Linked DNA regions of Saccharomyces cerevisiae S288C. Changing the gene in region 2 together with the main gene of any one other region gives a genetic interaction. Each region holds a gene or a part of one and is shown on either strand. Other genes may lie near its edges.

What was found. A genetic interaction does not mean that the proteins touch.
Region 1: mutations in SKY1 (region 2) and CTR1 together harm fitness more than expected from each alone (negative genetic interaction), as found in Saccharomyces cerevisiae (2 studies listed by BioGRID).
Region 3: mutations in SKY1 (region 2) and YSR3 together harm fitness more than expected from each alone (negative genetic interaction), as found in Saccharomyces cerevisiae (2 studies listed by BioGRID).

The regions. Positions count from the first base shown.
Region 1 is NC_001148.4:784,477-787,998, reverse strand, and holds CTR1 (high-affinity Cu transporter CTR1), read right to left. Parts: upstream 1,792-3,522; coding exon 571-1,791; downstream 1-570. Other genes in the region: YLH47 (Ylh47p), read right to left, coding at 1-38; AXL1 (Axl1p), read right to left, coding at 2,328-3,522. UniProt on the Saccharomyces cerevisiae protein: High-affinity copper transporter of plasma membrane that mediates copper uptake under low copper conditions.
Region 2 is NC_001145.3:698,311-702,984, forward strand, and holds SKY1 (serine/threonine protein kinase SKY1), read right to left. Parts: upstream 2,730-4,674; coding exon 501-2,729; downstream 1-500. Other genes in the region: GAS3 (putative 1,3-beta-glucanosyltransferase), read left to right, coding at 1-60; GUA1 (GMP synthase (glutamine-hydrolyzing)), read left to right, coding at 3,480-4,674. UniProt on the Saccharomyces cerevisiae protein: Constitutively active kinase, specifically and sequentially phosphorylates serine/arginine (SR)-type shuttling mRNA binding proteins in their RS dipeptide repeats.
Region 3 is NC_001143.9:533,497-536,954, forward strand, and holds YSR3 (sphinganine kinase YSR3), read right to left. Parts: upstream 1,786-3,458; coding exon 571-1,785; downstream 1-570. Other genes in the region: DYN1 (dynein heavy chain), read right to left, coding at 2,151-3,458. UniProt on the Saccharomyces cerevisiae protein: Dihydrosphingosine 1-phosphate phosphatase required for efficient ceramide synthesis from exogenous sphingoid bases. Involved in endocytosis and calcium-mediated signaling.

The sequences.
Region 1 (3,522 bases), on a different chromosome or scaffold from region 2:
ATTGCTCTCTTGATTGGCAAAGACCTGTATTTCAGCATTGTGTCTTGTTGATTTCTTTATGAAATTTTCTTTACTCGAACCTAAATATCACTGGCAAAATACTTTCAATTCGACAAGTGTTACTTTATGCAGTTATCTTGTTATTTCGAAAATTGCCACTTTGCCAATTAGATGAGACTGACACGATCTGAATAATGTCCTCTTTCAAATAAAAGTGGAAAATGTTCGCGCGGAAGCAATTCTGTCCAACGAGAAAAAAGAAACGTGGGAGACAACGGTAACTCGATGAAGGCAAGCAAGTATCATTTTTAACACTTCACTCTTATTATTGCAAGGTGGTAATATAGTTAAGGATTTTTGAATTAAAATTACTTAGACATTCAACTATATACAAGTCTGTTATTTATAGGAAGGTCGCTGTGTCTATTATTTTCTTTCCTCTTCATGAGGGCATTAGAAGTATCCATTTTGAGATTTTTTTTGAGCTTCTGAGAAATGAACGATATTCTTATTTTGATGTATAGAGATATTGGAAGAAGAAGATATAGGTGGACGAACCTTGTCTAGTTATTAGTTATGAGTGAATTTTTCGGCCGGAAGTAAGTTTTGATCCATATTCCCGGACTGTTCCTGCAACTTGGAATTCTCAAGGATGTCGCGCTCTATGTTTGCTTGATTCTTTCCTGAGTCTGTGGCACAATTACATCCCTCTTCTTGTGTAGGTGTTTTCTTTTGATTATTTTCGGAAATCGCAACTTTAGATTCGTTGTTCTTTTCCAGGCGAGTACTTTGATCACTTCCGGAAGTGGTATCGGCAACAGCAATTGGATCAGGGCTGGGTTCGGGATGTCTACCACATTGGCAGTTACCGAAGCCAGGACAGCTCTTCGCTTTCTGAATTTCTCTTTGGATGTCCCACCTCTTTAGCATGGCTATTTTGCATCTATTGAAGAAGACTTCCGATAAAGCTAACCCAGTAATTACAGCAAAAACGTATGTTAAAACAAAAGACATGGTAGCAAGCATCAACATATAAATAATCATCGTAGAGGTAAATACTAAGAACGCCCTTATAATGTCATGAAAGAGATCCATTAAAGATGGAACAAATATATCGCTTAATAAATTTGGCAGCTTAGGTAAACCTTGAATTTCAAAATTATTCTCTGTGTCATAATGTTTTCCTTCGTCTTTGGAGTTTGCTGAAGGTAAAGTGGAATATTTATTTTGCTTGTCCCATTTTTTAAACCAGTGAACTTCAAGGCACCAACTAACGAAAAGCAGTAGTTTGTAGACGAAAGCAGCCACAACAAATAATAAGAAAATACCGAAAGCCTTACCACTATTGTTTGCATGCAAATGGTGAAACAAAACTGGATAGTTTTTATATGTGGGAGTCAGATAATAGTTCATTCCCATACTCATGTCCATATCCATCCCTGAAGAGCTACTGTTATCAGACGATGACATACCTGACATGCCTGACATGCTAGAATCAGAAGTTGTCTGTGCACTGGCGGAGCTTGTTGGTGTACTGCTCATCGACATAGACATACCTGACATTGAACTGCTTCCCATCGACATACTTGCCATTGACGACATAGTCGACGCCAACGTTTTGCTCGCACTGGACATCGCTTCCATGCTCATCGATGACATGCTCGATAATATCGTTTTGCTGGCACTAGACATCGCATCCATGCTCATCGACGCCATACTCGATGCTACTGTCTTGGATGCACTAGACATGGCGTCCATATTCATGCTGCTACCCATATTCATACCTTCCATTTTGAATGTCAAATATAATACACTTTTTTTTATTTTCTATTCGATTCTTCCAACAAATGTAATTTGAGTCGCCGCCGAACTATTACTCCACCTGTTTAAGTTTGTGCTTAAAAGTTTTGTTATGCAAATAAAGCTATGGAGTAGTTGTTTATTAAGAGCACACTGCGTATCTGTTTTACTAATGTGAACTAATCATAAGAGGAATAAAACATACAAGACCCTCTCGAGATGACAATACAACATTTTTTATGTTGCATTTTGTAGCCCGAATCTTGAAAAGTGCTCTTTTCAGGATCGTGCCATTTTTGCTCATTTTACCGTCGTCTTGAGCAAATATCCCATGATTTGCATCAATACATGAGAACATAACCACAGTAACGAATAGTTGAGGTGCAGTTTCGATCCTTAAAAATTACTGAATAATTCATATGCTATTTAGGGAAGTATTTACGTATCGGTTTGTAGTATAGTAGGGAAATGTGCCAAGTTGCTTAGATAACAAAAACGTGGAAAGGCTGGAACGAGCAAAATACGGTTCAAAATGCGGCCTTGCGGAAAAAGTTTGGTTCAGGAAGCTCCTGAAGAGGAACAATCGGACTTGTGTCGTTGTTCCAAAATTTTTCTATTTCTTGTCCTTCACCATCTTGGGAAGAAAACCCTAATATAGAGCCGTATCTCTGCTTAAGATTCATTCCGATGATTTTCAATATTTCCTGCAATACAACGGTTCCGAGCTTGAAAACTTCATTTCTCCTACGAAAATAAGTAAAAAGGTTCTTTACAAGTAAAATAGGATTTCCCTTTGAATGTTCGACAATTTTCTTCAAGTCTTCATTTTTTATGGCGAATCCGTTTATTTTCAGAAAGGCCTCTAGCTGAAGGAACATTTTCCTGCTTGCAATTTCCTTCTCTGCCATTGGACTTGTGATCATTATTGATAGCTTACTTCTTTGAGCGGAATATATAGAGATTTTGGACTCGAAGAATGCTAAATATTTCTTTAGAGTTAATTTTTGCAAAAATGAGATATCAATCATTTCATGATCTTCTTGAAAATTAAGCCTTCCTTCCGCAATTTTATTTCTTACCTTCCTATGTTGTCTCATTTGTTTATTGTTGAGAGTGTAATTATCACCATTTTGCACATTTGCCACTATCTCATTTAATAGGTCTACAGGACCAGCCGACCCTTCAAACTGTTTCGTACTGTTCTGTTTTAAAAGATTTAAGAACGGCTCTAGAAGTATCCTTCGAAAATCAAACTCGGTGAATCTATTTAGCACCTGCAGCTGCAAGTAAGATAAGTACTCATTGATCCTAGTTTCCAGATTGTGCCCCGAGCTGCCAGACATTACGGTTATATGAATCCCAACAGTGTCTGTTAAAACCCTGAGTCCTCCCAAAACAATGTACCCAATTTGCTTTTTATTTCTTAGATCAGGCACTAGCGTTAGTGAAAATAGATATTCGGTAAGAAAGGTTAGTGTCAGATTTTTGATGTCATCTCTTTGTGCAGTCTGAATAAAATACACAATACTATTGTTGGGATCATCCTGGTGACCATTATATGATATAAAGGCATTTGTGCCTTGATCTAGATCTTTTGTACTGGGAGGAGGGTAGAGACGTATGGTCGGTTTGCTCCCTTCATTGCTGATTTTTAGGTGCTGCGTAAAATTGTTATTTAAGTAACGGTTGATTGCGTCAGCATATTCAAGGCTTCCCTGCATG
Region 2 (4,674 bases):
TCCTTTAGTCAGTCTGGATACCTTGCATTATTTGCAGGTCTGATTTCTGCTCTACTCTGAGCTGCTCATGTATTTTTTTGAAACATCCATGGACTTGTTTTCGTTTTCAACCGTTTTATTTTTTTGTGTTCTTTTATCTTAACATATGTAAAACAATTTATATGTTTTTAAATAGTAAACTTTTCATCAAAAACGCTTAGGTATCACACCCATCATCCTTCACCAGGACAACCATTGGGTGCAAAAAATAAAATCAAAAAATGTCGAGTATGGATTCAAAAACCGCTAAAGATAAAAGAAAGGAGAATCAGCATAATCTTTTGTTGTTACTTCAGAATATTATACTAGGTGTTACAAATTTACTTTGGTAAAAAAAAAAAAAAAAATTGCAAAAAAACTACTGAAAAATAAACAACTGAGCAGAGAACTAAAGTATGCAAAAAAGAGGTTAAACAGAAAAAAAAGTAAAAGGCAAGGGCAAAATAAAGGTATAAAGGTAATCAATGTCTTTTATGATCGCGGACTTCTTCAAACCATCCGGGGATATCGGAACCACTCCCGTACAACTCTCTATCAGGTACCCGAATCTCTTCCATACCCAAGGTATCCTTGAGCCATGGATGGTTAACCAAGCCACCTGCATCAGCTCTTTTCCTTGGGTCTAGCTGTAACATAGGCGACAAAAAATCAGATATTTCCTTGGCTTCGTCCTTAGAAAACTTATATTTTTCAGTTAAAACATCTTCTAAGGGCCAAAATTTCAATTTCGAGATATTTCTTAAAAGCCCTCTTGAATTGAAGAAAGTTCTTGTATATTTGCCGTTCCTCAAAAGGTATGATGGTAATTCTCCCAATAACTCGATGATTTGTGCAATATGGTCATCATCCTTAGTGTAGGAATGACCTTCGTCCGGTTCGAAAAGAAAATCTCCGGTAATCAATTCAAAAATTAGACAAGCAGTAGACCATATATCTGCACCACAACCCCAAGGGGCGCCTAGTAACACCTCTGGTGATCTGTATTCTCTTGTCTGTATAGAATTCGTGTAATGTTCGTCATACCAACAAGCATTACCTAAATCAGCAATCTTGATCTGAATCAAATTTTCTGGGGAGTTGATATCGGTACTGACGTTTGAATTTGAATCCATAGTATTAGAAATATATGGACCATTTGTATCGGAGCTTTGTGATATATTGGAAATATCAAATGTAGATAAAGAGTCTGCCAGCTGCTCTTCATGCAAAGGTGTGTTCATTATGTCCTCGTTATTATTGTTGTTACTGTTGTTATTGTTGTTATTTTTATTTTTACTATTATCATTATTGTTGTTATCATTACTGTCTTCATTTATGAACATCCTGGTCACAGAATGTGGTACTGAATTTAAGAAACTATTGTTGCTATTCTTAATGCCTATGCCATTATTAATACTGTTATTATTGATGGAAGATGGAATGTTCCTATTCCCAGATACGGAGGAAAAGCTATTGTGACTACTACCACAAAAGTGCGCCCTCATTTCAAAGAAATTTGATGAACTAATTGGGGAAGGTAATGGTTGCGACCCTGTGATAATTGTATGACGTCTAGGTCTTCTAAAGCATCTTTTTGACAAGTCCTTCTCTATAGAACGAGATTTGGAATTTGAGCTTGAGCCGCAGGGCATACTTGTTTGGCATTCTGCCCATTTCTCATCACTGCTATCGTTCGCGGTAATATCAGAAGACCGCGAAACGTGCCTCTGCAACCTTTTTGCCTCTCTCTTCTGTTTATCCAGTGCCTCGACCATTTGAACGATACCCTCAACATCTCCAATCTCCATCAACACGTTTTCTGGTTTAATATCTGTGTGTATAATACCACACCGCCTATGCATGTAATCAAGACCAAGCAGTAACTGCTTCGATATTTGCTTGACATAAATCAATGGAATGCCCCTATGTTCATACTTCTTTATCAAAGCCAGTAAGTTCTCGCCGAGGACTTCAAATACCATAACCACATGGACGCCATTGGGGCCCTTATGGTTGAAATGATCTAGCAATTTCAAAATATGATTAGCCCCCATGGAATCCTCCTTTGTATTATCGGCGTCATTCACTCTTTGCAAAAGCTTAATTTCGTCTTCAGCAGCTTCTGTGTAAACTTTGTCGCCCCGAACAATCTTCATAGCAACGTGAGTGTTGTTTACCATATCCTTTGCCAACCAAACGGTGGAGAAGTGGCCCCATCCCAGCTTTCTTACTAAAATGTAGCGTGCATCCTTATAGGGCTCGCCCTTAAAGGCAGGGTGGTACCCACCCGGCCTGTAATCTTTCAAAGACTCTTCGTTCCTTTCGTCACATGATGAGATAGAGGAATCTGAATCCAAATCTGAGTCTGATTGTGGCCCCGAATCCGATTGGATGGACACATGCGATTCAACGCCGCTATCTGGTTTTTTCTTAATGCTCTTTGTAGAAAAATCTTCTGTCTTCGAGGAAGTATCCTCTTGTACAGTACCGTTGGCACTAGAGGATGACTTGGAAGTCTGCAAGGCCAAAGACAGTTTAGACTTCGTTGGAGCAGGCGCCTTCTTCATCATGTTATAATCCCTTTGAAAGAAATTCTTCTTCGCTTCCTGCGAGCTTGTTGCTTCCTCACATGAAATGCTCGCATCCGTACTAGTGTCAGCCAAATGAGCGCTTTTAGTCACAAACCCAGGATAGTTAATTGATGAACCCATTAATGTCTACACTTCTTCTTTACTCTATCTCTTCAACCTCAAAAGGGGGTGTCTATTTATACCAAAAAACACAATTATTTCTCAGCGCCAGGTGATCTAACAATTTTGAATCAGTTTTCCAATCTCTATTAACTTGCCAGCTACAAATAGATCCCTCTATATCCTGTGACTTCTCTATAGCTCTTTCATAGCCCACACTCATTGTTTATTCTCTTTCAAATAAATAACGACGATAAGATTTAGAAAAATAGAAAAAGAAATTAGAAAAAAATCCGGAAATAATATAGGCTCGTCCGTAACGATTTAATATCACGTGGATAGTGATATAATTATGAGGTGTTGCCAAATAGAACCTTTAATTATGTTTAACAGCGAAAAAACAAGGTTGTCAAGTAGCCGACTCATTTCTTCGTGACGTTGGTGACAGGAATATGCTTTCATCCTCTCGCTCCCCTACAATGGCTTCGGTTCCCGACATTTTGACTCTTTTCATGCCGTCATTTCTTTTTCTTGCTTGCAGGAAATGAAAATTTTTTTTTTCTTTGGCGATGAGCATCGAGAAAAAATATTTCTTTTTTTTATCATTTTTTCAGTTTCATTTTCATTTCACAGTTATAAAACATTAGTTGAGTTATAGTTTCGGTCACGGTAGTCTCTAATTAGCTTGCGTTCGTTGTAGTTTAACTTCCCTGGGTCATTTGGTAGGTAATATCTATATTCTAAAATAAACTAACGACATCAATATTCACAATGGCTGCCGGTGAACAAGTTTCTAACATGTTTGACACTATCTTAGTGTTAGACTTTGGTTCTCAATACTCTCATTTGATTACCAGAAGATTAAGAGAGTTTAACATCTATGCTGAGATGTTGCCATGCACTCAGAAGATCTCTGAGTTGGGCTGGACTCCAAAGGGTGTCATTCTTTCTGGTGGTCCATATTCCGTATACGCTGAAGACGCTCCACACGTAGACCATGCTATCTTTGATTTGAACGTTCCAATCCTGGGTATCTGTTACGGTATGCAAGAATTGGCTTGGATTAATGGTAAACAAGTTGGTCGTGGTGACAAGAGAGAGTACGGTCCTGCCACTTTGAAGGTGATTGACGATTCCAACTCTCTATTCAAAGGTATGAACGACTCTACTGTCTGGATGTCTCACGGTGATAAATTGCACGGCTTGCCAACTGGTTACAAGACCATTGCCACCTCCGATAACTCCCCATACTGTGGTATTGTCCACGAAACTAAGCCAATCTATGGTATTCAATTCCACCCAGAAGTTACACATTCTACCCAAGGTAAGACTCTTTTGAAAAACTTCGCCGTTGATTTGTGTCACGCTAAGCAAAACTGGACTATGGAAAACTTTATCGACACTGAAATAAACAGAATCAGAAAACTGGTCGGTCCAACTGCTGAAGTCATTGGTGCTGTTTCCGGTGGTGTTGATTCTACTGTTGCATCCAAATTGATGACAGAAGCCATCGGTGATAGATTCCATGCCATCTTGGTCGATAACGGTGTTTTGAGATTAAATGAAGCTGCTAACGTTAAAAAGACCCTTGTCGAAGGTTTAGGTATCAACTTGATGGTTGTCGATGCTTCCGAAGAATTTTTAAGTAAATTGAAGGGTGTCACTGACCCAGAAAAGAAGAGAAAGATTATTGGTAACACATTTATCCACGTCTTTGAAAGAGAAGCTGAAAAAATTAAGCCAAAAGATGGTAAGGAGATTCAATTCCTGTTACAAGGTACTCTTTATCCAGATGTCATCGAATCCATTTCTTTCAAAGGTCCTTCTCAAACCATTAAAACTCATCACAACGTCGGTGGTTTACTAGAGAACATGAAATTAAAGCTAATTGAACCATTGAGAGAACTGTTCAAAGACGAAGTCAGGCATCTAGGTGAATTATTAGGAATCCCTCATGATCTAGTCT
Region 3 (3,458 bases), on a different chromosome or scaffold from region 2:
CTTCTTCACTTTGTACTTCTCACGAAAGTCTTCGTCAATAAACCTCTGATAAAGTGAAAATTCTATGAGATTCCAATAAAACCTCCAAATATCTTTATATACAGCTTACTACTTAGATAAGATGACGTTCGCCAATGGTAGGCAAAAGATAGCAGGGTGTTCTTGCCTTTCAGTCTTCGCCATGCTCTCATTCAAGAAAGGGTGCCAAAATACCGAAAAGAGACACGATCGGGGGTGTCAAAGTAGCGATTCCTGTGGGTTAAAAGAGGGTGAACCACGGCAAACATGCATGTGTAAAACCCAAAACGCCGATCTAGGGCCTGCGACGCATGGTACGAACATCCTGAAGGTATATAAAAGAGCTAAAGTCTTGACTCATGCCTGAAATCTTGATTTTTCATTGTTATATCCTCTCTATACATTAGTAAGCACCATAGATGGGCTGGCTATCAAAAGCGAGAAAAAAAAAATGCTGAATTCCAAATATGTACTCATCGGGGTGAATTTCAATGATGTGTTATGTAGATACAATATATATGTATAAGTCACTAAATGCATACATACGAGAGTCTACCTTAAGTTTGTCCAAGTGAAAAAAACTGGGCATAGCAAAAAGACGGTTGTAGGTATACCTGCGTATATGAGAAACCTTCCGACGATTTCCACTTTGGAAACACCGCTGTACAATAAACACTCTTCTTCTTCACTTGTCTCGTTATGGAAATGAACCTTTTCGCTTCTATCATCGTGAAATCTGAGTAGTTTAATTAACAGCGTGTAGACAGCTGTCTTGCTAATGACGTCTTTCCAAACAATCACAGAAGCGACACCTACCAGAGGCCTCAAGAACACCTTAGAACCACATGATGCGTACCTACTACATACAAGGTTCCATCCGTATCTTTCGGTTAACCAGTCGCTGCAATCCAGCCCACTGACTACGCCAATGAACGCTACGCTATCTTCGAAACAAGGACATTCATCAATGGGCCTGACGTGGTTAAACAGAATAAACAAGCCCCATGCTACACTCAAAAGGGGAAACCAGAGATGTTCACCAATCTGGAAATTTCGTAAAGCATGCACCACCCAGATTCTTATAAAAAAACAGATAGCTCCAACTGCGGCGCCGCTAAATAAATCCAGCATACCATGCATACCGCAGTAAACTCTACCAAAAACCAGGGTTAAGTAGTAAAATATCACCAGACTCAGTAAAAGAAGCTTTGTTGGCCATACCAGTGTGTCAGATAAACATATTCTCCAAAAGAATAATAGACTTACCGCAGTAGCGTTAGCAGAATGTGAACTGGGTGCACCATATTCTTTCGTAGTGTATTCACTTAGTGTGATTCTGTCAACTGGCGGTGATTTTGGCCTTGGTAGGCACCAATAATCCTTTAAGTAGCCACTCAAATAAATTGAATAACCAAGAACGTAGATCATGTCCCGTGTTAAATCGCGGTATCCAAGCCACACAGGCATGGGAAGCACGATAACATAAAACATGTGGGAACCCATAAGCGAAGTGTATTTGAAATAAACGTCTCTAAAAGGCGTTCTGTGCTTTTTTTGTAAAGAATGTACGAAATCTGATTGGTTGTCTGTGAATCTAGTTAGATACTGCCTTGTTTGAAACCTTAGCCACGACATCTGGCTCTCAAAATGCTCCGCTGGATGATTACCGGGATCTGCCAATAGGTGTTTGCCGCCGGAAGGAGCCATCTGAACCTTAATGGTGTCCTCGGTAACACCCAATTCAGTAACCGTCTGAATAATGGTCATAATTAAATTCTTTTACAGGCTTGCTATTTTGTATATTTTTTTGAAGACTACCACTGCCTAACTTCTTTTTGTCATGTTATCAATTCAACTAGATGTTGAGAAGGAAGCCAAGGCAAGGCTGATAAAAACTAAGAAAATAAGGAAAAATCATTATGTTATATAACATGAATTCTAGACGTACGTGCTCGTAGTTAGGAAGTATCTAAATAAGAGTCCCCACGTTACTTTAATTAGAAGCACGCCATCTTCCTACAACCGATTTTTTTGGATTGTAGATATCAGAGTCTCATCAAACAAGAGGAACCCAGAATAGGCACGTCCACTGAGAAAACCGCGGACAAGCAAGACACGCGTACCTGAAAAGGCTACATTTCTTGAAGAAGTTGTTCAGTTGAGCTAGCCACCTCTTTAGCCTGAAGACGTTCGTAATTCAAAATAGATTCCCTTGGCAATTGAAGCCATGAACTGAGTGAATCTGCAGGCTCAATCGTATTAGACAGTATGGCAGTAAGCCTTGCCCGTTCCTCTTCTTCACTTTGTTGAAGAAGAGGCTGTGGGATTCGTACCCCAGGAACGATCTGCAAATTGTCCGAGCCGCAGAATACGTGCGCACAAAGTTTAGCGACCACTTCAAGGTCTTTCTCTTCATCGATCTTTCCTCCGTATACGATCGTAGCTATGTGATCTCGCACTTGTGCCCAAGGAATGTTGTTGGTAGAATTGGTGGCTAATACATTCTCTAAATACACTGAGGCAAATTGAAAGTCGCAATCATTAAAGTAATACTTCTTGGAAAACCCATGAGGAACCAATCGGGTCCTGGCAGTGATCAAGGCATGAAACCATGACAATAGGAAGGTACAATACACGCTCCATACTCCTGAAATTTTACCAGTGAAAAATTGAGAACCCCATAGATCTTTGACGGTATCTAGTATACCTGGGATATCCTCATACACAAATCTATCAGTTCTTTGTAGCAATGGGGCAGGTAGTTTATCACCAGTCAAATGGCATGTCATGAACATTTTGAATTTCTCATGTTCTTCTGCCGCCTTTGTCTCCTCAACATGCTTGTGCAGATACGTTTTCACCCATGATAGCGACATTTGTATGTTTTGTAATAATATCCAACCACCTTCTATCTTAGATTTTGATATTTCCTCTTGAGCATAGTTTAGATTTTCTATAGACCCTAGCGGGATGATTTTTAACGATTCCTTCGAGGCTTTCGCCAATTCGATTAATTTGAATGTGCCATCAACATCTCGCTCGCTTGCCATTGTAAAATAGTTGTTCTCGGAATTGGCTACCACATCCGCGATATTCCACTCATCAACAAAAAACTCATTTTTGAACCAGTTCAACGCAGATATATACGATTTGGTTGTAACATAGTCCCATAAGTACCGCAAATCATTATTTGTATCTACGGTTAGTTTTGGTACGCCATCGCTACTTTCAGAGAGAACTCCAATCATAGTTAGAACTGCCTCTTTATATTGTTCACTTTCAATGTCGAATTTATACAAACAAAACATCGTCATAGCCATAATCATTTTAAATTTTTTGTCAAGAGCGGTGGAGAATTGACAATATACTTCTTGATATAATAGCCAAAGAATTTCATCTACCCGTGTCCTAGCTGCTCTTGTTTCCCTAGATTTCTTAAT